Styela clava: one gene and its partners. The protein of the gene in region 1 interacts with the protein of each later gene in a biochemical or structural test. Links are inferred from orthologs where the notes say so. Each region holds a gene or a part of one and is shown on either strand. Other genes may lie near its edges.

Region 1 (7,521 bases):
TGACTGTCAGCCGGATGCTATACTATCCGGAAATAAAGATTCTATTTTTAATAAAATTGCACAAATATGTTGGCATCTGGCATGTTGGCATTTTTTTTAAAGAATTAGAAAACATTTTCATCCAAATACACTGTACAATCTGTCTCTAACACGAGATAAATACATTTACGTCATGCGTTTATACACCATCATGTAACACGATGACACTCGAGAAGTTGGGGAATTCAATGAATGTTCCATATTATGCTTTGTACTAATTATGACATAAAAGGGTAAACAATTCTAATCTGTAAGAGAAGTGAAATCCCAAAATACATTCTATATTTAAACCCAGCGAATGGTGCTTCCTCGTGTGGCGCGGTTACGGGAATCCCTTTGGGATAGAATCATCGCTTAAATTTTCTAAATTCATTTTAGTTTTTACGTCAAATTAAAATTAGTACGCTTCTGTGGGTTTGGTGATAAATACGTTGAGAATCACCTAAACTTCTTACGTCACAAAACCTGGAAGCTTTGGGATTGGCACTATCTAAAATGCCATACCACATGGGAGTTGCGCTATATGCGTTGGTCAGTATTCGGAACAAAAATAAAAAAAATAGTTTGGGGTTTTTCGACTATCATTACGTCCAAATAATTAAAAATTCTGTCACAGCTTGACATTCCAATAAAAGTCTTTTACGAGGTTTCTCAAAATTGAAACAATCAACCACGGTACCAAAAAAAGAGCATTTAGGAACAAGTATAGAAAACAAAAATGATCTATATATAAAATTTAATGCCATACAAAGGTGAAAATGCATCTGGTATGAGATACGAATTCATTAAATCTAACTTTATCTGAACGAGGCCAAATGTTTGCAGCAATACACTGGCATTGCGTGAGACGGAATCCGCTATATACACAAATCATATATTGTCTATACATTGTACTAAGCGAGACCTAGTCGCGGTCATTGTCCTCGTAGGACACCCATAGAGCGAAATTCACAATAGAAATACATCCTACAATAATTTCAAAGCAAACATAAAGAATAACGCGTTGGTCAGCTGTCGGTTCCAAGTTTAGGTGATGGCCTAAATCGAGAGAAATCATTTCGTATGACAATATTCAGACCTACAGCTTATGAAATCTCTATGTTTGCCAAGCATTTCCTAACTTTACTTCTGGGTTGCCAGTTTTCTGATGTCATTTGATGGTTGTTTGTTTTTGAACATGGCACAATAATGATTCTAACGATAAAAAAATGATAGATAATATGATTTGAAACACAAAAAGCAAAAATGTGTCAAGTATGACTAGAGGATGCGTGTGGTGAATCGAATTATCACAGTATTCCCACAACAGATCCTTAGGGGCTCATAAATGTACATGCGTGAAGAATTGCCTGCTTTACGGCAATGCCCAACAATTTTACATATGGGTTGCCAGTTTCATCGATTTGCAAGGACACGCGTTCAAGCCACTACAATGTCTGTCCCAAAGGATTTATCCAAATGCTGTGAACTTTCAAAAAGGAAATAGGGCGAAAATAAACAACTTTATACACGACGTATTCGTATTGAAGCGCTAAGTTAGTAGCGTACGTTCATGCTATCATTAATCGTTTGGACGATTAATGATAAAATGGATGTCGGTACGAGGACATTATTGGACATTTTTAGGTTCTTTTACTTTCGCAATCTCAACAGTAAACATTTTGGAAAACGAGTTCGCAATAGTCCATTCAGATATTTTTTCGTTTATTCACAAAACAATATTTTTGTATGAGCGTCGAGATTGTCTTAATCTGATGATACATGCTTGAAACAAAATTATATTATTGATTTATGCAACAATAATTTTCATACGTAAAAACTTCACAGAAGTTTGGAATTTAATATTCAATACAATGAATTTTTCAACAATATTTGTGCTGTGTATATCCTTCATTTCAAAATTATTCAAATTACTCAATTCCGTGGGTTTCATCGTTAGAATCAAAAAACAAGTTAGGATAATCCGTTCACGGAAAAAACGATTTTTCGGCAAAAGTTCACGCCCGTGTTGATGGTACAATTTTCAACAATATTCCTGTTGTATGGTTCCAAATCAGCTTAACGGGACGGGACGTATTCGCCGTACCAGCAAGCAACAAAAAAGCCACGTTAATGTTTTTTTCGTAATTTTCTTAGCACAATTTTTTGGTGTTTATAGTTTTAGTAAGGCATTGCTTGATGGGGCGGACAAAAATAATATTCATTTATAGGTCTTCGTTGATCTAAAGATGTTTATTTGTCAATTAAAACGAAATGAAATACAAACAAACTTTAGAGATTTCCTGAGAATGATTGAACTGTTTTACAGCGTATTAAACACAGGTTGAATATTTATGATCAAAACACTGAGTTCTATGGCCGGAGGGAAGATTTAGCTTCAAATTCTCGAAGGTTGGTTTACATTACTTTCCAAAAACAAATTCCTTTGGACCGAATCAGGTCTTAAGGATTACTCCGTGACAAGTCTTATCAAAAATCAAATTCGCATGTCGCCAATCATAAAATTTGCGTTTAGATTGATCAATGAAAAGACTGCCAATCGTTGATCGATTTATCATTAGTTCAAAATACGAGAACGTATATTTTTCAAGTATAAAAATGGACCGAAAACCAAATTCAAATACAATTTCATCAACCACAAAGAATTTTATCTGTTATTTCTTGGAGTCAGCGCATTTAGTTGAAAATTTAATCTCATTCATCAACCAGAGAACACGTTAGTTGTCCATAGAGAATGTTTGGCTCAAGCATAACTATTTGCATTTAAATTGCCATTGCTTCACTTCGATTATTCTCGTAAAACGATATTTGCAAAACTTCATTATCATATGTAATTTGATATATCTATATCATTATCAGCATCACATGTTATATGTGGCAGAACGTATTGTACAGAGAACCACAAACTTATATATACTCCCACGGCCTTCGCGTTTCCATTGCATACTCTTACTTGTATTTCCACCACTGTTATTACTTTTTTTTAGGTTGATATTTTGAATTTAATACTAACAATATAAACTGATGATTGAATAAAGACGTAGCGTAGATTCGTAACTTGCGCTGGTTATTGGTGAACCCAATAAAAATGATAGATACGATTTTGTGTCCATATATGCTCGCATATAAATACTGTAGTAGCAATTACCATTACTTACATTACTCTAATCAGCTAAACAATAAAACAAGATTTGAACTAAATTTGTGAAAACAATCATACCTTTTCCTTGTACGCCTGAATTTCTTGACACAAACAGAAGTAAAATCAGAACCAATATATTGATCTTTAAGTTCATATTGTCTTTGGTTGTAAAGACGTTTGTTCTTGATCTTCAAGTCTTCATGCGTCCATATCAGAAGACAAGATTCGAATATATTCCGGTAATGGATTATTCATATATATATAGGGTCCGTGTGGTTTTCTCTTTTCAAGTTTAAATCCGATCAAAGATGTGAACAACCTTACTTCAGAAAACGAATAATAAAATATTCTTAAATTAAAACACCGGATCGATTATATTCAACTTATCAAAAATCCGGAAGAATTGAGAACTGCATGAAACAATTTGATGAAATAAATGAAATATTTTTTAATAAAAACCTAAAAATCACTTTCTCCACTAAAAGGCGGATGTGTTAAAATGTTGATGTATAACTTAAAATAAATCTCTCTAGCATTGGTAACAATTTATGTTCTTTTTTTAGTTATAACCTTGGTTATAAGCCACTGTTAACAATATCGAAATGTCAAAGGTGTATTCTTTAATTCAATCTTTGATCTGATAACACAAAGCTCTAACAAAGTAAAAACTGATTTTGTTTTTGAAAAAAGTAGATCAGTTTACTGGTTGATACACCTAAGCCTTTCGAATCAGTGGTATCAGAGGAGCAAGAATCTAGGTAGAGAAACTCACTGTTGGTTTGAACCCACAACTGAACTGGTGTAACACTGAAGAAAACTAGCATAACACCGCATGTTAACAATAAAATTGACGCCGTGAAATTGGGATTATATGATTGTATAATATATAAAGTTCATAAAAAGTTTATGAGAAGTGCGCTTCTAATATAATAATCCTATTATTCTTCTTCCAAAAAATCTCATCGTGATTTTCTTAATTTAAATATGAGAAAGTTTTTTTCTGCCGAATTCGCAATTGAGTCAATGCGTTTAATTTATAGAATATTGTTGAAGTTTATAAAATATGCTTCTACACAATTCAATTCTGTACAGCATTTGCGTTACATTTAATCCGTATTGAAGCGAGTGAACGACCGTTTCGAACACTTAATCGGAGAGCCTCTACAGCAAGTAAGGTTTTACACATTCAGATAGAACATATAACTTATATGCACAGAGGAAGTCTAGAATATCAAGAAGACAGGGAGATGACAGCTTAATTGAGTATGTATACGGCTTGAGTAAAGCGGTAGGAAGTTTGAATAATTCACATTTCAGATACACTATTATGCGCCAGGTATGGACGCATTTGAAACCTTGATTAAGATGTGAGAAATCATAGCCAATTTTAAACGCTAGCGACAGTTATAGATGTAAATCTGACAAAGTGCATTGCTTTACGAACACTTATAAAGCATTGCAGAAGTTGGAACAATCTTGAATGCAATGCTTTAGAGACACCGGACCATATATCGTTTATTAGATTTACTGCCGGAAAGAGGGGCAGGAAACAATCCCTGACAAAACCTTGAGGATAATAAAAGCAAAGGACCAATAAAGTCTGCAAACAATGAACGTTTTGCAGGGAAACAATAAAAGTCAACAAATCGTGGAACATCTTATGAATCATTAACGACTGAAGTTGTTTGTTTTATCACGGGAGCGAGGCAGGAGGTTCCGATATCGAAAGACAAATATATTTGAATGATATCGAACTAAACCAGCTAATCGCAGTGAAAAAATCTGTTAGGTTACTGATATACAGTAGTGATTAGACCACTGATTATCATGTTGGTACCCATTAAAAAGTTGCAAGGAGTATCTCATATTTTCTATCATGAATACTGTACACGGTTGTATTGCTTCAATATAATATCATTTATTTTTGAATTTATCGCGCGGGGAGTGATAGAAGGCGTATAAAGGAGCAAACAATACGGATTCGAAGATTCTTTTGCCCAATCCTATAAAATTATTGTATATAGCTACTTGAAAAAGTTCTGCAAAACGAACTACTTGCTACTATGAAGTGAGCGTTGCATCTATATAAGTTCAACCTGGTTCTCAACCTTCACAAAATCGATGTAAAGATTCGGTAGACTTTAAAAGGTCCATTAATGGTTACCATATACTTTATGTCATGCATATTTCATCGCTTCACTTCATCAATGCAATTGAAAGCGTTTGAAATTATTGCACCTATTTTTTTTTTATCACAAAGATCATTATACATACACAAGTGGGGATAAAAACAAGGACTGACAACCTTCCAATTCAATTCTGGTTAACACGAAACGAATTCGTCATGGTAATTAGGTGTGAGTATTTGGCGCTTCAATAGTTTATATCCTCAGCTCTGGAATTATATTGGACTTATAGTTATCTTAAAACTTTGTCAACATAAATTCCGTTTTTTGGGGTAGAAGTGATTAAATTTTGTACAAAATGCATTAAATCTGGAGCGTTATATAACGAGCCAAACTTTCTATAGTCTTTATAACCTACACGTTATTTACGCAAGCACCGGACCATGTCAAACACAAAGAACGTCATTGAGGGCTTTTGAAGTGGGTTGTCCCATTGTAATGTTCCGCGAATCGTTTGCTGCTAAAGCGACCAGGCACAGTCGTGTTTAGATAATAACTCGAACAGGAACTGACTAGACCCTTTCTACTTAGCGTTCTACAAGTTAACACCTTCGGAACTTCCATTATCAAATTTAATGCCCCAGTATTATAATCCTGACCCTAAAATATCTGAGATATGCTACGTCAATCACTTCGCCTCAGTAACGAAATATTCTATAAATAATTTGATATTTTATATATACCTAAAAATATGAAGATAGGTTTGTTTCTACATTATTGCTCAAACATTATTCAAAATATTGGTTTTTATACAAGTTAGAAATTATAGAATACCAATAATATTATTGAATCAGAAATAACATGTAAACAGAATGAAGCAACACCGTGAAGCTAAATCCGAACGTCGGGGTCCGGTCTGGCAAAGCCATTTTATCGCGAAGAATTGGAAGTTTCTCAAGAAAGTCTCTAGTCTCAAGACAGCGAAAAAAGCAACAAAACTTTCGGACAAATATAAGATATTTATAAAATACACAATTTTGCAGCCAAATTTATTTACAAATAAACAACGCCATACCTAAATTTCTAATGACTGTACATATATATATATATTCTTATGCCTCACAAATTTCCTTGAACTCTTTACCTGTCGTAAGTTTGAAAAACTTTCTTATCGCTACCTCTTTGCAAATACTGTCCAAATCGTATTGTTACGTTATTCTGACTGACAGTGGAAGTACTGAATTCACAGCTTGCTTCAACCTAAGATATAAATAATTCAAGATTACCACCTAAATCCAGCTTTAACAGAAGCGGCGATCGGTTGCGAACGACACGGTATAAACCACGATTTTTTGCGACTTTACGTCATAAATCTACCTTGACGTCATACGTGAAATACAGAATAATAACACAAACCCTAGTCCTGCCACAGCAAAAGCCTAAACGTCCGTACACGTTTCGCCTCGCGGTGAATAAGGCGACGTTCCACTGAGCGTAAATAGACACCTGTGGCCGTACAGGCCGATAAAAACAACCCTGGCAGGTAGGAGAGAAAATAAAGAATAAATTTGCGAGAGCGAAGAAAAATGGCAGTCTATGTCTTTCGGTGAGATGGTTCATGATCATATAAGAGACATATTCACACGACACGCGCTTGCGAAAAATAATATATCATATAAAATGGCATAGGCATAAAGATATTATGATGTAAGAATGATATAACTCACTGTAACAGTGTAACTCGAGCTACTCAATTGAACAATTCAAAACCAAATGAGCAAACACAATAAAAATTTACTAGTGGAAATTTACGTCACCTGATCAAATCTTGCAACTGTTGCTTTATGCCCAAACGGGATCATGTAAACTGTATAAAGGAATGATCTTCTATTACGCATGGGATAAAATGATTAATTAATGACTCCGGTAGCCTATATTTAAGTGTTGTAAATCGATGTACTGTACATATTCTTGAATATAATTACCACGGAGCAATAATTATGAGGTTTTAAATTAGTTAGAAAACCCTTACCGAAGAGTTCAATATAGAATAGAATATGATTGCTCGAAATTCGATTGATTTGACCAGTTATGGAGGAAAATGGATTTTAGCTACTTAATAGTCAAAACTGATAGAAACAAAAGGATAATATTAAATTTTTATGGTAGATTTTATTTATAGAAAATATACAGCCTTTGACGGGTTATTTTTTG
Region 2 (7,548 bases), on another chromosome or scaffold:
TTAAACCCCAGTTACGTATTTTTTGGCATGAGGTGCACGTCTATTCAATATTTACGCTGACCCACTCTTTGCATGATGTCAGGGTTCAATCTTAATAAATATTCGAATTCCCAGTCACATTCCTTGAAAGTGTATTTAGGTAGAAATACCTAAGTTAGTATTTTAAACGGTGAAAAACTCATCCGCGTGTTCCAACCTCTCAGATGGCTGCTAATGTTTCAAAGGATAAGACAGCCAGCTGAGCGAGCTGTTTCAAGCAGACGCCATATTACAAAATATCAATCCTCAAGATTGCACGCATGATCCTTCTACTTATCGGCTGATAATGAAGACATTGTCATTTCAGCTGGGCACATCTCATATATAGACAACATAAATCTCAACGAATTTTTTTCGAAGTTATTTTAAATATTCTCGATAATCACATGATCTAACTATCGCCCAAATTTGGTCATATTAATTAATCCTTCTGCAGCCAACGCGGAGGCAAATGCTTTCACATCAGAGAATTAACGGGAGTTTTACACGTACAGCACTTCCTGTATATATCTGCACATCTATCATCACCTTGTTTATAAAAGCAATAAACAATTTATATTTCGAAAGCATAGATAAAAAGAATATCGAAAAATAATGCAAATATTACAATAATTTTAGAGTAATATACCGTATCCATATTGCAATTACGCGCGATAGCTGACAAATTAGCAACCGTGAGCAGTACGTACACTCAAGTTATCAATATTTACTAATTTTCTATTTCGTTAGCTCATTCTCTCCTTGAATATGACCAAACGGCTCGAGGCCATTTCTATTGCCTCTCTATACAATGTGTATATTACGTACGGGTTTCCAAAATATATGAAATGCAATTGCGTTTGGGTATTTTCGACCAACACGTTGTGTTATGTGCGCATTTATCTGTCAGTTGAAGTGTTATGTCATCACATGTATATTGGATTACGATAACGTCATAATTATAAGCTGTAAAATAAATTTAACAACGACTACAATGTGAAATAATTCACCTACAGTCAAGCTTTACAGAAAAGTTGAATAGATAATTTTCAAAAAGAATTGTATACGCATAAAATAATACTCGTATACAAGATTAGATATTTGAATGTTGGTTGTTTGTTCCGATTGCTGTTTACTTGACAAAATATAGTTCAAAAAAGTAAATGAAGAAATAGATAACTTTCTCCTAATTTCAACACTATTTTATTTTGCGGTGCTTAAGAAATAATGTTTTGTAAAACATATTGTTGCTATGAACACTTGTAGTATTTAACAGAACATTAAAGAGTGTTTACTCTTTACTGTAATGATAAAATATTATTCAACTGCAGACGTTCTAGTTACCTTGATCTTTCGACAACAAGACATTGTATTTTGAGTCTTATAAATTCGGAAATATCTATAGTTATCGTACTAATTAAAAATTGAATTTACTCACCCTCCTGCGCATCTTTTCCTAACAATAGTAATAGTCAACTTCTCTTGCTTATGATATATATCAGTTTGACGCAGAACAAAACTTCGAAATGAAAGAAATCTTCTCTGTTATTGTATTTAACCTGCGAACTTTAACAATGACGATATGAGGTGTCAAACATAGAAGGCATGTTTATCTCAAAAGCAATTAAAAAGCCTGCTCATCGTAATAAAACACACCACAAACGCGCATTAATAATATAATAGAAGCCTATGTTTTCACGGAACCGTGTTCGTCGATTTTTGATGACGAACTTTTTATAAGAACATTGGCCAACATCATGCGGTAAACATGTTTCCAAGGTCATGGCCTTGATAAAATTAGACTTGCCTGATTTATAGGAGTCTGAAGTGTCGAGAAGAAGTGTTACCGCGAATAGTTATAAGGGTGTTTTTACACTTTAAATCTCAGGAATTTCAATGAATTGGTAAGTATTATATTTATAATCATTAAGCACAAATAAAAATTTACTTTATAATTTTTGATATCTTGAAAATCTTGCTCCAGAGGCGTAATTTGTATATAATAAAAAATGAAAAAAAATGAAATTTTTGCGACAAGTGACAAGTTTTCTGATTGATGGTACAGCAATTGCTGCGCTTGAGCACCTCGTATTTGCCACAGTAAAAAGTAATTATGTCTCAATAATTCGAATATACTGTTAAACGTTCAATTTTAGATATTTATCTTCAGAGTGAAATGCAACGCCATTGTGTTCTGACACTGTTTGCCATTTTATCATGGCTTTAATCCAATTCTAGATTAAAATAGTCAAATGTGTTCTGGACATAGAAGCATTCCAAATGGACGAAATCAAGTGTGGGTGTTATTCATCAACTCTCGGGATTTACTTGCTAGTGACGGTCACTGGAATAACCCCTCAAAGAATACTACTTTATATCAAAGAATGTGCAGTTCCCATTGAAGATATTGGCGATATTTATGACAGCTGTTCCACTAAAGCCACCTAAGTACGGCACCATTCACGACAGTTGCACAACCAAGTTAACTCGTGAATCGAGTTAATTAATCCCAATAAACTGAATCAAGTCGAGTTTCCTTTAGTTGTTCTTAAACGGTGGGAAGCTTCATAAGGGGCGCGTACACAAATTTTGAGGGGACGGGAAGCTAATTAATAATAAAAATATATTATATTTGTTAGATTTGATCTCGCCCGCCCTGTTTCGGATATTCACATTTTGCACGATTTTAAAACTTTCATTTATTTCATTATTTACGTTCCATCCACGTATTTCCAAAGTGATTTTTTTTAATGAAACATACTTTCGCCTTACCATCTGTTATTTGTAGCTTATTGTTAGCTAGTTATTTTTGAGGTGGGGCGCGAGGCTTGAAAAATTCCAAAAAATGGGAACCACTGATTTATACCGATCCGTCATCGGATTTAAAAATATCATTGTGGTGTTCAATTTTTAAATTTTTGTAACAAAACTGTGTTTTGTGGCTTCTTCACTTCATTCTTTATTGCGATTAACGAAACGTTCATTTTTGTGAGTGACTTAGAAAAGCAAATTTTTGACGATTTTCCTGCTTCAATTATTCCCAAAATAATCTGATTTTTCACTCACTTGTATAATTTCCAAGAAAAACTACTATAAAAAGCTAACAAGAAACAAAACAAACATGTATACATGACTTTTTAAAATTGTAATTCAATTTTTGGCGGTTTGAAACCGGCTTCAACAACACAACATATTGCCGAAAATTTTTCCTAACGTCATTTTCTGTAAGTCGGGCAAATGTCATAGTCGCTATCGCTAATTTGTTATGCAATGTTGGTTAATGTTAAATTGGTTATTGTTAATAGTATATTCAAATATCAAGGAATGAACACTGCCAGATGTGTGCAGTATATTATGGTAAAAGAGCCGCAGGCAACAAGCCGGAAATGTGTGAAATTCGTTTCATTGTTAAACGTTTACTTTCTTTTTTTAAATTGAAACTTTTCATTCGGCCCAACCGCGGAGCTATATATATTTCTAGTTCAGTACATCCAACGAATTCATTTAATGCATTTCTGGTAGAAAACAAGTTAACGGTTCTGTGCAATAAGCAAATATTATTGATATTTTCACATCCATTTAATAGTTGTTTAATAGTTGAAGTATTCGGCAACCAGTTGTTCAAAATGTATCTTTAAATTTTTAGAATTCCAACCGAACAAATATAACGAGATATATATCACTGATTCGAATAAACTGGATGCTAATTTAGTCTAAATAAACACGTATCATTATATCATTTTAAATCGCTGATATAAATTTAGCACTTCACACACGCAGCGCTACAATGATTTTCAAATTAATAAAAAGAATTTAAGTTGATTTAAAAAATCTCAGTACCCTTTTATAAATCAATATGAAATTTTGTATTGCACTGACATGTCTTGATTTTTTCTTGGATATGTTTTAATATTATCAAAAGCAGTGGCAAAGCGCACATTGAAAACACAGGGTCGCGTTTTGACGGCCGATATTTTCCGACATAGGTATCTAAAAATTCACATCGGTATGTCGTAATTTTTGCTCTATTCTGAATCATCGTGAGGTGGCGCTGGAGATCAACAATTTTTAAGAATATCTCTATCTCTATCTAACTTGACATTTCACAGTTAGTCTCAGACGTCTGGACGTAGCCGAGCTGTTCTTGTTTTTATCTTTTCCGCCGGTAAACGTTTATATATATTCTGATATATGACTTAGATTTTGGTGAATTTAATAAGCAAACAATACAAGAGATGAATCGAATGAAAAACAAAAAGGTAATCGAAGGAGATCAAGCAAATGAATGGAGGAAATCAGGGAGCTTTGTGAATAAACCTTCAAGAGGATGGCTCCATCCAGATAATTCTGTGATGGGACCTGGCGTCGTCTATGCAGTTCGGGTAATATTTGATGCACATTATGGTTTTAATGTTTTTCATTATAATCTAGTAAACTCTGTGTATGCTGCAATGACTCAATGAATAATCTAGGAAACTTACAGGCTTATCCAGTTATCGATGAGAATAACTGAATAGAAGAATAATGGGGTCTAGCGAAGTAAACCTGTAAACGCTGTGACCTAAAATGCCAAATATCTGATGTAAAATGAGCGCCAGAACTGCTTAAATAACACAGAACTAGAATATGATGGGAAATTTTCATGTTTTTTTTTAAAAAAAAGTCGGTCAGCGTGGAATGAAATTCTTGGCGTATTAAGTCAGTAAGTAAAATGAAACCCAAGCTCACTAGAAGTACTAGGCTAGACCCCATTTTTGTTTGGCATCATTTAAGCTCTTACAGCGTTCACTTCGCTAGAACGAAATAATGCCAGACTCATACCAATGAAAGTAGAAATGATGATTTTTTTCCGTATTTTATACTTGAGATAGCTTCTCTTGTTAACTAATAGACCAATCGATTTCAAATTTCCGCTACTTAAATGGGGAAGTAATAGCCTGACGGTTCAATATTTTTTTTTTCAAGTTCCCCCTAAACCCTGTGAGATCCGATATTATACCCAAAATATCACTGTTTTATTTTTATTCATGGAAAACCTATTTTTATTTCATTTTTGCCATTGTCAAGGTTATCCTTCATTTTTGTTTTGTGAACTAGGTACTCAGCCACGTTTGAGTGTAAGATACATAACCTACTGCAGTTAATTGTTGAACTGTCATGTTCATAAATTTGAGCATTTTTCTCATATTTTTTATCTTGTTTTTCATATTTTTTTTATAGTATCTTGGATGTATAGAAGTCAGGCAAAGTATGCGGACATTACAATTCGATATGAGGACACAGGCAACAAAGTGAGTTTCTAGTCAAAATGTTTATCCCTTTTTGTTAGAGCCTGACCATTTAGTGTTAAATTTGGTATGCAATTTGTGTACAAGAACCATGATAAGTATACAGGAAGGTCTTATCTTTCCTCATATCTGTTTATGGTGAGGTGATGTAATGAATATTAATAAGCATTAGTCATTGTAATTGTCATTCACAGTATATAAAATCTTGGTGTCAAAAGGGTTCACGGGTATGAACCCAATGAAAGATCCAATCTTGAAATGAATTCAGAAGCAATTTTTCTAACGCTTCGACTATTATTGTATCCAGCCTGTAAGAGTCGATCTGCAAGTAAAATACTGCCTTTTTTACTTCTTATGTAAGACCAATAATATAGGCCAATTGCTGAAAAAACTCAATTTTTTTAGGCATCTAAATTTTTTTTATACCATGTTGTTTATGGCCTTTACCATCAAAAAAGTGAACAAGGCTTTGTAAAGCATCTACTGCTAGGTATCAATGATCAAATTACTTCAGATTCGGTTCAAAATGATTACGTGTAGTTGTTGGTCCATGCTATTTGTTGTGGTACAATTAGATATTAATGGTGTTTTATCCATGTTTATTCTAGGGCAAAGAGTCTGTAAAACTGTAAAAAAAGTCTGTAATTTTCTAAGAGATATAATACTGTCAGTAATCCTTTTATAAGTGGAAGTCACAGGCTTAAGGATTAGTTTGCAACTTGCAAGTTTAAACCTTCACTCTGGAAAAAACGGCTGTTCCAAACTTTTTATATCAGACAATGTAGCTGATACCATAGCTTGATCCATTTACTAATTTTTTCTGATGATTTATTCTGATATTACTTTAAAGGGAAGCAATATGGAGAATATTGATGGCCACAAGACGATCACATCAACTGGTTTCTCGAAGGAAAAAGACTCCGAAAGAAGTTTCACGAATTCTAGGAGAACGTCCCAATCTACAGTTTTCATTATCATTGATTAATTTAACAATTTCAACAGCAAGTTTGACTTTGGTTGTCACTGATTCGGGACAGGTATTGATGATATTTATACACTTTAAAGAAAATGTGCTTCACACATACTCAGTAATGAAAAAGCTCTGTGTGAGGAAAGTTACTGGTGATCACTGAAATGACAATAGCTAACATGGAGTTTGAAACCTTCTCGTGAGTTATCTAACTCTAAATTTCACCAAAGGCCTGCAGTTAGATTAAATATTCTCATCATCTTCTGCTTAACTAAGATATTGTTTGTTGTAGATTTGCTACGAGCATTCTTTCATTACAAAAGTTTCTTAATTTGAAAATAACTCATTCTAGCTCACTAACTTCGTTTCTGCAAAAAATGATTTTAGTGGGTGCAAGTAGACAAAAAATTAATCATCTTTAAACTTGCCTCTCGGCTCTGACTAGGTTCTCAGAATGAGTGAGGTATGGTGGATGTTAACTTGAACAAATCTCTACCAACTGAGAGTTATAAGAGTCCTTCAATTCAATTTGATGATAAACTCAAGTTTTTATTCTTTTGCAAATACGATGGAAAGTGCAGTTGACAGTTATACTGTCATAATCCATCCATCACCTTTTAGGTTTGAATCTTGTGATTCAAATGATAAGTACAGGTTTTTTCTTCTTTTTGCAAATACAATCGAAAGTAAAGTTGACGCTTAGAGTTGTTATTAATATTGCATACTATCGGCTACTAATGTTCTTCGGAATACTGGCAACACAAGTTTTGTTACACTTTGTTGTTATTGATATGGTTTGTTTAGAATTAGGATCAGAATGGGCAGGCTCTGATGTAATTGCCACTGTGCCATCGGTGTAACTGATAGTTTCGTGCTTGTTGTAGCAACAAATGAGCATCTTAATTGAGATGCATGACCATGTGTCAGAATGCATCCAATAAAAGAATCAATCATGAGTTTAAAATCTAATTTACCCAATTATACTAATGCACAGAGGTACGGGGATAATAAGATTGATTTTATGTCAGAAAGAATAAATTATCACAGCAGTGGAGATGTCGAAATCTATTGATTTCTCAGTAAAATTTTGTGATGCAATGATAATAATTTGGTCACAAAGTTGTACTAAACACCTTCCCCTGTGTATATTTAATCAAATAACAAATTGTTTAATTCTACTTTGCGACATATTACAGTGGAACTAAAATTTTTATTACTTATGGTAGTTCAAATAGGTATTCTCAACATTCCATCTCATTAACTATAATTTTC
Region 3 (7,609 bases), on another chromosome or scaffold:
TCGTGTGAACACTCAGCGAACTACCTGGATTCTATAATTTCAGTAATTTACAACATTACAATAAAAAATGACACATACTATTACAAGTCTTTCAAGTATTCAAAATGCGATTAAAAAAAATATTCTGAAATCATTAGATATTCGAGAATGCCCAGCGACCTTATTGAGGAGAAACGCGGATTCAAAATATTTCACTGGTTACGAACTGCCATATTTGCATATTTCTCCATCAAACCATTTTTTACCCTGCAGGATTCATCTATAAGAACATCGATTGTTGTTCTCGATCTCATCGATGCTATTGCAGAAGGATCTATTGATTACAGCAATGTTTCACCTGGTGATAATGAGGAAGAGCAGCAGAGCAATGCGAGGTACTTTACTGCGTTATGCTTTTTGGAAAGTTATTCAAAGCACACTCACAAAATTATGCTAGGGAAATTTCATCTAGAAAATTCCGCCATTTGAAATTTCATTCCACTCTACTAAATTAAACTCGAACCTCCAAGGTGCTTTTAGTTTCGTAGCAGGAATTTTCAAGGAAAAAATTTAATATAGCATATAGCCATATACTGTACTGTACTATATACTTTTTTTCCGGCATTTTTACTTCTTATAATGGCCTTGACCCTATCAGTAAGATTTGAAATAGATTTGTTGTTGATTAATTGTGTGTAATGATGTTACAAGTTTTAGATCACCAGTTTTGAAACACATTTTAACTGTAATTGGGTACTAAAGTTTTAGTTTGAATATGGTAATTTCCCCTTTCAACTCCTAGTTTTAGTTGGTTATAAACAAGATTGCTAATTGGATTGTCGGACATGAAGTGGACCAATGGACCGTTTTGTCATATTGTATTTTTCTTGTTGTTGTTGTGGAAAAATCACTTTTCTCAATAACTGATGGACCAATTGCTTTGAAATTTCCAGTGGTTAAGATTAAGGATAATGTTGTCGCTAGAATATTACTTTTATTTATTTCCCAAATTACTGTGGGCTCTATGGATTTGTGTTTGTGCGGAGACGTCATTAAAATTGAAACAAAACGCACCATGTCAAGGTTCCATGATCGCATTTTAGCATCTCGTGGTCAAACTGTCTGTGCTGTAAAATATTTTATGCTTCTTCGTTTTGGCCTTCGTACCTTACAGATAGAGTCACTTAAGGTTTTTTCATATTTTTTTGGGCTGTAAAAATTGCATTAAACTATGAAAGCCACTGATCCTAGTTGAAAATCTAATCTCTGATGTTTTGTACTTACAAACAACCTTAATTGCATTTTCCATTTTGTTTTTAGATACGCTATTTCCATGGGCCGTAAAATTGGAGCTAAAATTTATGCTTTGCCTGATGATTTGTGGGAAGTAAACCAGAAGATGGTAATGACAATATTTGCTTGCCTTATGGTCCGAGCTTTGCAGCTGAAAAGTGAGGAGGGGGAAAATTGAGGACTCGAAATTTAAGACTTTCTTATTGAAGTTTTGAAGATGTGCATTCCAACAATTGTGTCAATAATTCTGTCCTTATGCAAATTTCAAGAATGTAACATCAAGTCATCAAACATTACTTTAATGTAGAGCAGCAGGTCCAGAATTCAAATTATTTTCAGTATGTTTGCTCGCATTTTTTTTTCAATAATGATTAACAGTAACATTTTCACATATTATGACAATTTTATTAAATACGTCATTGCACATTCATTTGGTTTATATCTTTCACTTTCATTTCATGCACTTGGTATTTTAGTTAATCTGGCTCTTGCTTTCACACACACACTATACTATCATATTAAAATTACACCAGAATTTAGTCCTATAACAGTAATTATCTGGCATTTTTTGGCATTAAAATCTGTTGGTAAAACTTGGCACTTATTCAAACTGTACATAAAGTAGTATCATTATACCTTGGATATATTTTAATATTAAACATAATGTTATACCGTATATAATGTACTCAGAAAATTTTTCAAAGATGAGGATTTAACCCTGTTATAACATGTATCTTAATGAAGCATTATCTTTTTTTTTTTGTAAAAATCGTTTCTGGCCACCAGGTTTATGTTGTATCCATGACTAATCCAAGTCCCGAGTATTACACATCATTTTCTGTTTGTCGCATTCACTCACTACATTCCAATCTCAGCACGGTAGGATAGGCTTTTGTTACTGCTAATATTATATGTTTTGTGTGACCAAAAAATACAATATCATACCGTTACTTTTTTCAAATATTTTATTCAAATTTTTTATCAGGATTTTTTTAGTGCAATGGTGAAATTTGAAATTAAAATCACATATTAAACTTTTTTTGGCCACTGGATTCTTTTAGAGCAATGGTAAATTTGAAATTAAAAGCACGCATTGAAATTATTTTGGCCACTCTTATTTCTATGTAGCGTACTATGCTGTAACTATCTGTCCAAATAGCAATTAAAACTTATTTTGTGAATTTATGAATAATGGTTTGTGGGATTCAGTATTAGACAATTATGCTACTACACCGAATTATGCCTTTATTACCGATTCACAATCCACAATATTAGCAATAACAATAATGCATTTTTCATATTATTCTGTTGCATCATTCCAAGTCGCTTGTAAGTTTGTTTTCACTAAAAATGCAATTTCGGTTGAGTTCAATTATTTTTGGTAAATAATTTTCGTTGAATGTTTTGATTCACGAAGTCTAATTTTGTCACTTTCAAATGAGTTTCTTGTTTAAATCGGCAAAAAGTTTTGTTAAAGTGCATTTCCTATGCAGTAAAGCTCGCTATTTAGTTTTTCACCAAATCTAATGCTCGTTAAACCACATTTTCAAATTTTAATACAAGGAGTGTGTGTGATATTGATATCAGCTATTATATACTATAACACTAATCATCCAGTTATAAATGTGTGTCATGATTCTTTATGAATTTATAGGATTACTGGGTATGGTTGAGGATATTAAATTCTCTGGTGGGTTGATGAAGCGCTGATCGAGTAAATTTTGTTTATGTAAAGATGTTCTGGTTCATAACCGTTGCAAATTGGATTTTCTTTTATGGTTTAAAAATTTGCCAATGATTAAAAAGGGGGTATTTGCACCTTTCCAGGCCATTTAGAACTAATATCTGATAAAATATTGCCATACCTTATTTAGAATGGAGAACGAACAAAAACTGTGATCTGTCGAATGGTAAACCCATGTTACCAGTCAAGATAAATGTGAAAATTTAGCTAGGCACAACCAATGTTAGGGAGGCTAAAGTCCTTGATTGGACCAGAATCGTCATTTGTCAAAGACTCGTCATCTAAATGGGAAAATTCAGATTCGTCATCTACCAACTACTAGACTCTGATTGCCCGTGAGTCGACTCTGGATTTATGGACTTGTACACAGCCAATTTATATACACTAGGACCTAGGTTACAATAAAAATCAAGTCAAGCTCTTTTCTCATAATCTGTTAATGAATGATCAAGAGCAGGAAACGAAACAATGTAACTAGAATGATCAGTTGTTCCTGTGTACACTGAAAAGGGAGTAGCAATTATATTTCTCTGCTATACGAATACGTAGTATTTTCGAACGAATTAATTATGAAATAACCATGAGAGCCATTCCATCTTTAGTACTGAATACCTGAAATCGGTTGGTTGGTCCATTAGTTGTGGAGGAATGCGATTTTTCCCAACAGCAAGGTTTAGCAACACAATATCAACGATCATCCGATGGAAACTGACTTCAAAATCAGCATTGCTGAGAGCGAATTTTAAGGAAACCGGTGTTACCAACAGGAGTGGCGGGTGTTCATTAACTCACCCTTGTCTACCACATAAATATATTGACCCGACGTCCTAACAACGATATAGCTACACGCGCACATTAGATAAAACTCTACCATTGAAAAAGAGCAAATATATTTGAAAGTAAGAGTTAAATAATGTTAGGATAGGATAGGATTTACATATTTATCCCGGGGGAGAGGAAAGCCGATAAGACGGCTTATCCATATGGCGAACCACGGCCTCTCGTCCGGTTACCATTCCTAGTCGGGTATGGGATTAGTTTTTTACTGTATTGTATATTTTCGGAAGCATGAACTTGGTGGTGGAGGAAGCCGTAACCGACCAGCGGTTACGTGAACCACCCAACGACGGCGAGGAGTCCAGCAATCCTCTCGCACATAACCATCCCTGCATGGGATTCGAACCTGCGAACCCACGCAGAGTAATTAGAGGTGCGGTGGCGAGCGTATTCCTAACGCTTAGCCCGTTGAGCCACACCGCCGCCGCGCCATGTTCGACTCCGACTCCCGGTTGACGGAGGTTTCGACTCCCGAGTAAATTAAATTTTGATGAAAACTTTTTCAGGAGACTGTTTGGAACGTTTAATAAACTTTTTTATGGTTGAAATTTACTTCTGAATGTCTGAAACTTCGATTTCAAGGCCGACTGCTGACAACATAATTTAAAATAAATGCTCCGGAGTCCCCGACTTGAATCCGGAGTCCCTCACTCACGTAAGATTGGCTGTTTACAGTACTAAACACCACTGTCATGCTAGCCAAATACCAGCCAAATATCAAACTCATATTCCCGAATTTCATATTAAAGTGTTTCCTGGTCTAACAAAATGTACTTTCTGACTTTCTACGAAAACTAATACTTTGGGACATCACGCTATCGGAGGATTTATATTCAGATGATGATTTGGGAATATTACTGTCTCTTATTATAATGATATGATATGGAAATATTGAATATTTGAAAAAAAAGTTCAATTATGTGAAAATTGAATTTTTTCATTAAAAATAGAATTATTTCAAATCTTTCCGGTCTCGAGGGCAAAGATTTGAATATACCATTGGATAGGGGACTAACATAAGAACATATTCCAACAAAAAAATTGTGGTGACACCCGACGAGTTTTCGAACTTTTTGAGGTTCGAAAATGTTCAAGTATGAAAAAATTTTACTTTTTCACAAAATATCGAATTATTTCGAATCTTTCCGGTCTCGGGGGCAAAGATTTGAATATACCATTAGATAGAAGACTAACATAGGAACATATTCCAACAAAAAAATTGTGGTCACACCCGACGAGTTTTCGAACTTTTTGAGGTTCGAAACTGTTCAAATACACAAAAATTGAACTTTTTCATAAAAAATCGAATTATTTCGAATCTTTCCGGTCTCGGGGGCAAAGATTTGAATATACCATTAGATAGAAGACTATCATAGGAACATATTCCAACAAAAAAATTGTGGTGACACCCGACGAGTTTTCGAACTTTTTGAGGTTCGAAACTGTTCAAATACACAAAAATTGAACTTTTTCATAAAAAATCGATTTATTTCGAATCTTTCCGGTCTCGGGGGCAAAGATTTGAATATACCATTGGATAGAAGACTAATATAGAAACATATTCCAACAAAAAAATTGTGGTGACATCCGACGAGTTTTCGAACTTTTTGATATTTTTTTGTTGGAATATGTTCCTATATTAGTCTTCTATTCAATGGTATATTCAAATCTTTGCCCCCAAGACCGGAAAGATTCGGAATAATTCGATATTTCATGAAAAAGTTCAATTTTTGTGTAATTGAACATTTTCGAACCTCAAAAAGTTCGAAAACTCGTCAGATGTCACCACAATTTTTTTGTTGGAATATGTTCCTATATTAGTCTTCTATCCAATGGTATATTCAAATCTTTGCCCCCAAGACCGGAAAGATTCGAAATAATTTGATTTTTTGTGGAAAAGTTCAATTTTCGCATACTTGAACATTTTCGAACCTCAAAAAGTTCGGAAACTCGTCGGATGTCACCACATTTTTTTTGTTGGAATGTGTTCCTATGTTAGTCATCTACCCAATGGTATATTCAAATCTTTGCCCCCAGGACCGGAAAAATTTGGAATAATTCGATTTTTCATGAAAAAGTTCAATTTTTGTGTATTTGAACATTTTCGAACCTCAAAAAGTTCGAAAACTCTTCGGATGACACTACAATTTTTTTGTTGAAATATATTTTTATGTTAGTCCCCTATCCAATGGTATATTCAAATCTTTGCCCCCAAGACCGGAAAGATTTGAAATAATTCGATTTTTCCTGAAAAAGTTCAATTTTTGTGTATTTGAATATTTTCGAACCTCAAAAAGTTCGAAAACTCGTAGGATGTCACCCTTTTTATTTGTTGGAATATGTTCCTATGTTAGTCCTCTATCCAATGGTATATTCAAATCTTTGCCCCCGAAACCGGAAAGATTCGAAATATTTCGATATTTTGTGAAAAAGTTCAATTTTTTCATACTTGTACATTTTCGAACCTCAAAAAGTTCGAAAACTCGTCGGATGTCACCACAATTTTTTTGTTGCAATATGTTCCTATGTTAGTCTTCTATCCAATGGTATATTCAAATCTTTGCCCCCGAGACCGGAAAGATTCGAAATAATTCGATTTTTTTATGAAAAAGTTCAATTTTTGTGTATTTGAACAGTTTCGAACCTCAAAAAGTTCGAAAACTCTTTGGATGTCACTACAATTTTTTTGTTGGAATATGTTTCTATATTAGTCTTCTTTTCAATGGTATATTCAAATCTTTGCCCCCAAGACCGGAAAGATTCGAAATAATTCGATATTTTATTAAAAAGTTCAATTTTTGTGTAATTGAACATTTTCGAACCTCAAAAAGTTCGAAAACTCGTCAGATGTCACCACAATTTTTTTGTTGGAATATGTTCCTATATTAGTCTTCTATCCAATGGTATATTCAAATCTTTGCCCCCAAGACCGGAAAGATTCGAAATGATTTGATTTTTTGTGGAAAAGTTCAATTTTCGCATACTTGAACATTTTCGAACCTCAGAAAGTTCGGAAACTCGTCGGATGTCACCACATTTTTTTTGTTGGAATGTGTTCCTATATTAGTCATCTACCCAATGGTATATTCAAATCTTTGCCCCCAGGACCGGAAAATTTTGGAATAATTCGATTTTTCATGAAAAAGTTCAATTTTTGTGTATTTGAACATTTTCGAACCTCAAAAAGTTCGAAAACTCTTCGGATGACACTACAATTTTTTTGTTGAAATATATTTTTATGTTAGTCCTCTATCCAATGGTATATTCAAATCTTTGCCCCCAAGACCGGAAAGATTCGAAATAATTCGATTTTTCCTGAAAAAGTTCAATTTTTGTGTATTTGAATATTTTCGAACCTCAAAAAGTTCGAAAACTCGTGGGATGTCACTTCAATTTTTTCGTTGGAATAAGTTCTATTAGTAGTCTTTTATCCAGTGGTGTTTTCGAATCTTTCCCCTGTGACCGAAAATATTCGAAATAGTCAAATATTTCGTATAAAATCACGGCCACACTTCGATATGACATTCGGTACAACTTTTTCAAGATTTGGCTGGAATTTTGCTGGCATTGCGGTGGCGTACTACAGTACTAAACCTAGTTGTTTGTAGTCAGAGGCTAATGTATTCACTTTTGTGGGAACTAATTCAGAATTAACGGTCGTTCGTGTAAAATGACATCGATATCCCGAAGGTGAGTGCAATATTTGGTATCTTAGAGACTGGTAAAAATATGATGTGTCATAAAATTAGTAGGTGT
Region 4 (7,926 bases), on another chromosome or scaffold:
CACTCACAGGTGTTAATACGGTATTCTTTCAGAAAGAGTTATGTGATATCATTTGTTATATTCCGATATCAAAAATGAAAAATTCCTGAATTTCCACTATTATCCATTTGAAAGAAAATGTCGAAATATCGATAACTAGCCCAGTTAGTTATTGATTGGCAAATGGCAACAAAAATTGTACCATAGCATTTTTGATCAAAAATAGAAATGGTATCAGAGTAAGTATAACTAATTGTGGATTACAGCATTGTTTCATTCTAATTAGAATCCATATGGATTGAGGATGAAATCATTCGCTTATTTTCGTTATTTCGTATGATGCTTTGATCGATAATTCAAAAGGTACAGAGTTTTTAATCGAGGTGTCTTACGGTCTGATGCGACTCTGGTAGTAGTTGCCTTCGTGATTGACCGATTTTGATTTTTGAGTTTTTAATTTGTTTATTAATAAAGAAAATACAATTTCTTACTTCAAATACAACTGTTTCATTGACGAACAATTGAGATCGAAGCAATTTGTAAGATTTATTGACAATTTTATCAAGAACATCAGATGAATGATGAGTTATTCGCAGGACGTCCTCTTCGTAGATATCAGAAAATGACTTTGACAACCTGGGAGTGAAAAGGAAGATTAAACCAACCAATAAGCCTAAATTGGTATTGCGAATTGTTAAAAAATAGGTTCTAACTTTATTAACTGTTATAAAATGGTACTGGGACAGTGTCTATATGACATGTTTTTTTGTCTCTACAGTTATAATCGGTGCAGTAAAACCAAAGTAGCCTGTGTCACATTTTTTAGAAATGGAATTCATTCATCTCCTGTCATTAAGGACCTGGGACCATCTTTTGGTCTGTGTTTCGAAGATGTACATTTTTTAGTTTAAATTTCAGGTACTCCCTTAGCTGTACAAATTTGAATATTACAAAATGCGTTTTTCTCGAAACCTTAAAATGTGACGATATCTCGTTTTGCTTAAAGAAGTTGAACTGTGACGGAACAAAAACATTAGACCAAATCTGATCTAAAAATAAATGAATTCAATACATTTCTCTTGTGCTTTTTTCGGATTCTAAAGCCTCTTTATGAGTGAGATTGATATGTCCTGTGCATTGACAAGTCCATAGTTTTCTGTTATATAACTGAACTCTGTCATCATATTGTCTGAATTTATGACGTAATTAGGGAAAATTCAATCAAAACAAGAAGTTGAATACTCATGAACACAAAGAAATTCCAAACCTATCAGAGATGATGTTACGCGAGAAGCTCTATATTTGCATATAATGCAAGGCTATCGTAGTGAAATAAAGAATACTTAAAAATGTGTTTGATCACAAAGTAGACCCATTCCTTGCTGCTCTTTAGAAATCCTCTTTTTCACATGTACATATTATTTCCAGTAATTTTACTCATTGCATAAAAACATTTGACAAAAGATTTTACAATACAGAAATAGCAATATCAGAATATTCAGATATGATAAATTCAGATAATAGTATTACTGTAATAAATTTTGCCGAAACTGGAAGTTTTTGAATTGAATACTTGAAAATCATAATTCATTTAGTCATTGTTTATGAAATTCAATAGCATTTCTGTGCACACATAAATATTTAGTTTATTACAGTATTATAATATTTTGCTAATGGAATAATTTGAAAAGGATACTCTTTGGATGTGAAGAATTCTCCTGTATGTGGAATTGTATAGGTTTCTGCTGCAGTGTCCAATTCCACATTTTCAACTGGACCATTGAAAATATGTCTGCCAAACAATGGCATGACTGGCAAGCTGTTGTGAACCAATACTATCCCAAAATTAAATTATATACTTATTCAGTTACCGGTATTCAACCATACATATTAATGCTATATCTGTATGAGCAGCAAAAACAGATGTTATAATTACTGGATAGGATAGGATAGGATTTACATATTTATCCCGGGGGAGAGGAAAGCCGATAAGACGGCTTATCCATATGGCGAACCACGGCCTCTCGTCCGGTTACCATTCCAAGTCGGGTATGGGATTAATTTTACTGTATTGTTTGTTTTCGGAAGCCTGGACTTGGTGGTGGAGGAAGCCGTAACCGACCAGCGGTTACGTGAACCACCCAACGACGGCGAGGAGTCCAGCAATCCTCTCGCACATAACCATCCCTGCATGGGATTCGAACCTGCGAGCCCACGCAGAGTAATTAGAGGTGCGGTGGCGAGCGTATTCCTAACGCTTAGCCCGTTGAGCCACACCGCCGCGCCTGAATTGATTGATAATAAGGCTGTACATAATTATAAAATATTGCCAGTGCTTACGACCAAGCAGCCTTAATTTTAAAATGTTACATGATTTAACACTTTTAATTCAGGGACTATAGACGTAAAAACAATACTGCAATCCAGAAATATCCGAATAGGCTATAACGAACAAAAACAGGTTACCTTGTTGTCGTGATATCAATGGCGCCACAAATTTAACAGACTTATTATTGGAATAGTTGTAATATCCCTTACATAAGGTATCGAACGCGTCATTCGCGAATGCGCGCACGACAAAAAATTAACGCCACGAAAATGTCAAGAATATCAAGTCGAGGCGCGGGCTCCATTCTCTATAAAGTAACTATTGAGTGAGTTCATCCCGCCACAACCGATCATGTGTTTCATTCACTGTGACGTATGTAGCATTGACACAGCTGATTTTAGAAAGACTGTAAAATCACAGTTAAATTAAACTGTTGCTTTCTTTTATTATATTTAATACAATTTGTGGTGATTATGAAAATGGAAATTAACAAATACGTAAATGGTGTTGACTAAATGCGTATGTTTCAACGATAATCCGTTCCTGTAAAAATGTGTTGCCAAGCATTGTAAATTGTATTTAAAAAAAATTAGCATAACTTTTATTGTTCAACGAATTGTTGTTCATTGTATGTGTTTTGTGTATGATTTTTTTGCTGGACAAATCAAAAATATAATTATACTTATTTTAGTAGGGCCACGGAGTATACATGTAGTTCATTCGGGACATAAGGATAGCATCTTACTTGATACTTTTGTGTCGCACGTTTTAACCTTCATTTGAAGTTTTGACAGTTTTTCTAAATTTTTGTTCTGTGAGTTTGTTTGTAATTTTTTTTTTGTATTATTGCATAGTACAAAATAAATTACCATATCATATAGCGTACATAACCGTATTAGCAGCTTATGTACACTGTACAAATACATAAACAGTATTGTCGCGGATAGCTCCGTAGCTAGATGGGTTGTTATGTAAAATCTATGATGGGATGGGAAAATTAATGTCGAATTTTGACAGACAAAATTTTCTTATTGATGAAATAGTGGATGACATCCTAACAAATTCCATAATGAGTTGAAATTTTTTTTCAATTTAATTAAATACATGTGAAATGTTTAATGTTGCATGTTTTTTATAGGATATTATTAGTTGGGTTTTTGCTAAATTCTGTTGAATATTAGATATGAATAATACGTTTTACATAGACAGGAAATAGGAAAATCCTATTGGCATGATAGTTATTCATATTTTCCGTCTAATCTTTATAAATTTTGTTATTCCATGCTAATATAAAATATACCTATTTATTTTCACCATGATGACATTTGGGACATCGATCATCTGCATTGTAACTACGATGAATTGCTGATATAGAATATGTGAAATATGATGTAATCTGTGTATGGGTATTGTCTACTTATTTTTCTCCACCTAAACGAAATTCAAATAATGCAATTGTATTCCGAACTCGATATTCCACTTGACGAAAAAAAATACATATTCAAAATGTAACATTTGGCTTCTAAATTCTCGATACAAAAATTCCGTTTTGGTATCGGAATTTATTTGGCAAAAAAAAAGCAACATCTGTGATTGGAGTCTGCTGTTTCGTTGTGGCCACCGTAGTCGCATGGTGTCATCATAGAGAGTTGTTCTGTAAAGGTTGTCCGTTTTTAGTATTGTCGTTTTATATTTCAGTATTTCTCAATAGTCGCAGGGTCAGCTTGGGATATTTAATAGGCTGAGTGGGTGGATAATGAGAATAATTTATTTGGCCTTAGCCTAGTTTTAGTTTGACACAAAGATCTGCAGTTTAAACAGTTCTATATATTGTACTGGTATTACTGGATTAAGTATTTGATTCTGTGTATTGTCAATTGTGGATCAGTCTACTGACATTGGTTAGGGGCTGTAGGGGAGGATTGCATGAAATTTTTTTTTTAATACTGACTGAAATGAGTGTAGACTATATATATATATATATTTATAAATGTCGGAACAGCCCTAGCTATAATAAATTCTACTGAAATGGCAGAATAGGAAATTCCCCTTCCAGCAGTTGGTTTAGTCTTAATGCAATCTCAAGAAACTAACTATCCATATTAAGCGATGTAAGACAGTAAATTAGATATTTAAACCTTGTGTGTCGCTGCTTGATAACCAGCTTCGGTTCCTCGCGACTTTCCTTCCCCAGTAAAACTGTAATTTTCATTTCTTTTCCTCGTTTTTTCTGTGTTCAATTTTTCTTATTTATATTTATTCACTGGATGGAAAAAATAAACTTGACTTGGACGAGATGCTTACATACAGACATATCCAGATATCACCATAGCCTACAGGCATACCGTAATAAATTCAATGGTATTTAGCTCAGACAGCCAGAAGGGTTAATTAATATATGTTAAATGTATTCCTTTATTTGTAGACTACAAAATCTGAATATCAATTTTTCATCTTTGTACCTGTATATTTCAACTACACTGCTACAGAAATATGAGAAAATGAAACTTCCTGCCGATGAATAGTCTATATGGATATCAAAATGGATTTACAAGATTGTGACATTATTCTGGATATATAAAGTTTGTAGTTACATGCGGACAATTTTTGATACTGCATCATTGAATTGAAAAATTGTTCATTGGTATATCTTATTATCTCACTACACGAGTATCTGCTGTTCAAGTATGTCATCTGTTCTGCCTCAACAATTCGTAAGATTTTTTTCAATCTTTTGTGCTTTTTGACTGACAAATATTGACTTATTTTCTGTGTAAAAATTTGGCCAAAAATTGGCATGTATAATTAATAGCTCATACTTGTGTTTTTTTTCTCTATGACAATTTATATACTAGAGCAGTGGTTCTCAACCGCCGGTCACTGGTCCGCGGCAAACTTGCTGCTGGTCCGCCAGATATATTCCAATATTAACATATTATAAGCAAATTGTAAAATACAACGTATTGACGGCATGTCCCTTAATTTCGTGATTTTTTTCAACTCTTATTGATTTGTAGCACCGGTATTCTAACAACAAACTTGGCGAGAGGTCCTCTGCCCATTTCAAGGCTTGAACGGCTGGATGTTCGTTAAGTCTATGATCTCATAACGGCGGCTAACATCATAACGGAGGAGTTTGATAGCTTATAGTACGGTGCCTAATTGAAAATTTCGCAGTTTGCACGCTCCGTAATTTGACAGTAGGCCTATAATTTAGCGAGGTTTGATAGTAAAATGGAGGCAAACAAACAGCAAAGTATTAACCAGTTTTACAAAAGAAACCCAAGTTAATAAGAAGTATTTGGAGCTAGGTTTCACTATTGCTCCCAGCAGACTAAAATTACCACTTCCCATGTGCCTAGTCTGCGCTAGAATTCTTTCAAACGACGCAATGAAACCCGCAAAGTCAACGCTCTACTTCGCCTTACAGAAACTTCATTAGAACCGCGTTTAACATGTATACTATTAGAAAGGCAGCAAATATTTCATTGAATTGGATTGTCTTCTTCTGCACCTTTGCACCATACTTTTGTCGCAATTGCATTCTTTTGATTAAGTTTTGTGTTCATGACATTTTTAGTTTATTTTGAAGGTCCGCCGGTCCGCAAAATTTGTTTTGAAATTTGACCGGTCCGCAAACTGAAAAAGGTTGAGAACCACTGTACTAGAGGTTTTTTATTTATATTACATTCATATTTGGATAAATTTTAATTTTATTGTAAAATAATTTTCCTATTTTTCATACTTTCATGGACTTGGGCAAATTGGTATTTTATTTTTAGACATTTAGGAGTTGCGATAATGGCAGAAATATTACACACTCTATTTAGATTGATATAGCAGTTGTCGATAGGTCACGAAAAACCTGTCATTGAGTCCGGAAAGGTAGTTGCTGAATTACAACAGCAAATATAGTCAGAGAAACAATCTTATAGGGATTGTTTGATCCTTCTGTACACTGTGTGTCCGACAATATGAGTAAATTAAATAATTTATAATAAATAAACTACTTTCAGGGTGGTAGCCATCATTCATATTTTCTCAATCAACCCGCAATTGCCAGTATGGATGAATCGGTTTACATGAATGAAGAAATTCATGAAGATGATCTCATTGATATGATGGATGGCAGTTATGATGTTACAAGACAGGAAGAAGCTGACACTCCGCCACCAAATCAGTGAGGATAGCACTTCTGACTCACACTTGAAACATGTTCATTCTAAACAGTTTTCTAATTATTTTTGTGAGGAACATAACTCTCTGAATAGAGAACATGACATGAATAGAGTTCGTGCATGATTATCTAAACCAGTGTTTCCCAACCTTTGGGTGGCGACCCGATATTGTTTCTTGAATTGCTTGTTTCTTCATTAAAATCCTAAAAGTTACTAATTTTATTTTATATTTGGATGTTGCTCAATAGTAATTATAATTGTATAGTATAGTCTATGTGGGAAGTATCACAGTTTAAAACTTGGCAGCATTTATTTTGCTCAAGTAAAGTCACAGCTGATGGCAAACTTTTAAACTTCGCACATTGAAATGAACGCTATGTAAAAATGTTTGTTTCAGATTGGTCATTTATTTTGCGACCATAAAAGTATTACAGTACATACGGCCATTTAGTAATTGAGCATATCTTTGGGTCGTGAGATTTTACAAAATGAATCTTGAAAAATGGTTGGGAAACACTGCTCTAACAAAAAGGGACAATTCCGCATATATTTAGTTTGTCTTGAGATATCTATACAGTGTGATTAGTTTCTTACTGGCAATGGTATTTTGAATGAATTTCTGTGAAACATGAATTGAATGGAAGAAAAATAATTTGTTATTACTATATTACTACAATATAGTAAACTAATCAATTTTTTAATTAGGACTATTTAATTACGGTACTCTGCAAATTCAGTGATTATTTGTAATTTTCCAATTTATTAGGTGATATCTATATATAAAAAACTCCTAAAGTAGCTATTGAGTTATTCAAATGAGATTGGCTATTAAGTGTCTTCTGTTATTTCAATTCCTTGTGTTTAAGCTTTCTATAGTTTAAATACTTATTTTGATAAACTTGCAGATGGTATCATGGTAAACTTGATAGAAATATGGCGGAGGAAAGACTGGTGGAAGCCGGATTACAAGGTGGATATCTTGTGAGAGAAAGTGATAGAAGACCTGGTTCCTATGTTTTATCTTTTTTCAGTATTACTGGAATCACTCATTTTAGGTATGCTGTTTATTGTTGTTACTTATTAATTAAGATAATCATAAATTATTGTTTGTTAATTATATATTACAGTTGCATTGCAAGCATTGTTTAATATGTTTGAATATGTTAATTTATCAAATAAAAAATTAGAAAATTTTTGTTTGGTTAAAAAATGACTGTAAAATTTAATATATCCTTTATGAGCGAATTTCTGAAAGAAAAAGAAAAATATAATATAAGACTTAGGTTGAACAATGTGAGATATCTAACTCTTTGAAAACATCTAGTTATGCCTATGTTTACAACTCCACATTTACTCTTTTTAAAATATACCAAGATCAAAATTATCTTTAAAGTTAAACACCATTGTAGAGATATTATAAAAATACCATAATAATTCTTA

The links.
Region 2: the proteins of receptor tyrosine-protein kinase erbB-4-like (region 1) and SHC-transforming protein 1-like form a complex in vitro, tested with the Homo sapiens proteins (2 studies listed by BioGRID and IntAct, with this or other methods). The link is inferred for Styela clava from reciprocal best matches to the Homo sapiens genes ERBB4 and SHC1.
Region 3: the proteins of receptor tyrosine-protein kinase erbB-4-like (region 1) and tyrosine-protein phosphatase non-receptor type 11-like form a complex in vitro, tested with the Homo sapiens proteins (2 studies listed by BioGRID, with this or other methods). The link is inferred for Styela clava from reciprocal best matches to the Homo sapiens genes ERBB4 and PTPN11.
Region 4: the proteins of receptor tyrosine-protein kinase erbB-4-like (region 1) and ras GTPase-activating protein 1-like form a complex in vitro, tested with the Homo sapiens proteins (2 studies listed by BioGRID and IntAct, with this or other methods). The link is inferred for Styela clava from reciprocal best matches to the Homo sapiens genes ERBB4 and RASA1.

Annotation. Positions count from the first base shown.
Region 1 is NC_135261.1:9,856,330-9,863,850, reverse strand, and holds the start of receptor tyrosine-protein kinase erbB-4-like, read right to left. Parts: upstream 3,588-7,521; 5' UTR 3,336-3,587; coding exon 3,260-3,335; intron 1-3,259. UniProt on the Homo sapiens protein: Tyrosine-protein kinase that plays an essential role as cell surface receptor for neuregulins and EGF family members and regulates development of the heart, the central nervous system and the mammary gland, gene transcription, cell proliferation, differentiation, migration and apoptosis.
Region 2 is NC_135252.1:18,272,668-18,280,215, reverse strand, and holds the start of SHC-transforming protein 1-like, read left to right. Parts: upstream 1-4,123; 5' UTR 4,124-4,253; coding exon 4,254-4,400; intron 4,401-5,238; coding exon 5,239-5,309; intron 5,310-6,156; coding exon 6,157-6,343; intron 6,344-7,548. UniProt on the Homo sapiens protein: Signaling adapter that couples activated growth factor receptors to signaling pathways. Participates in a signaling cascade initiated by activated KIT and KITLG/SCF.
Region 3 is NC_135256.1:10,912,885-10,920,493, forward strand, and holds the start of tyrosine-protein phosphatase non-receptor type 11-like, read left to right. Parts: upstream 1-4,296; 5' UTR 4,297-4,523; intron 4,524-7,434; 5' UTR 7,435-7,523; coding exon 7,524-7,543; intron 7,544-7,609. Other genes in the region: plastin-2-like, read left to right, coding at 253-374, 1,300-1,450. UniProt on the Homo sapiens protein: Acts downstream of various receptor and cytoplasmic protein tyrosine kinases to participate in the signal transduction from the cell surface to the nucleus. Positively regulates MAPK signal transduction pathway. Dephosphorylates GAB1, ARHGAP35 and EGFR.
Region 4 is NC_135257.1:15,736,763-15,744,688, forward strand, and holds the start of ras GTPase-activating protein 1-like, read left to right. Parts: upstream 1-4,737; 5' UTR 4,738-4,995; coding exon 4,996-5,022; intron 5,023-6,324; coding exon 6,325-6,488; intron 6,489-7,391; coding exon 7,392-7,541; intron 7,542-7,926. Other genes in the region: tyrosine-protein kinase BAZ1B-like, read right to left, coding at 471-615, 1,052-1,168, 1,676-1,788. UniProt on the Homo sapiens protein: Inhibitory regulator of the Ras-cyclic AMP pathway. Stimulates the GTPase of normal but not oncogenic Ras p21; this stimulation may be further increased in the presence of NCK1.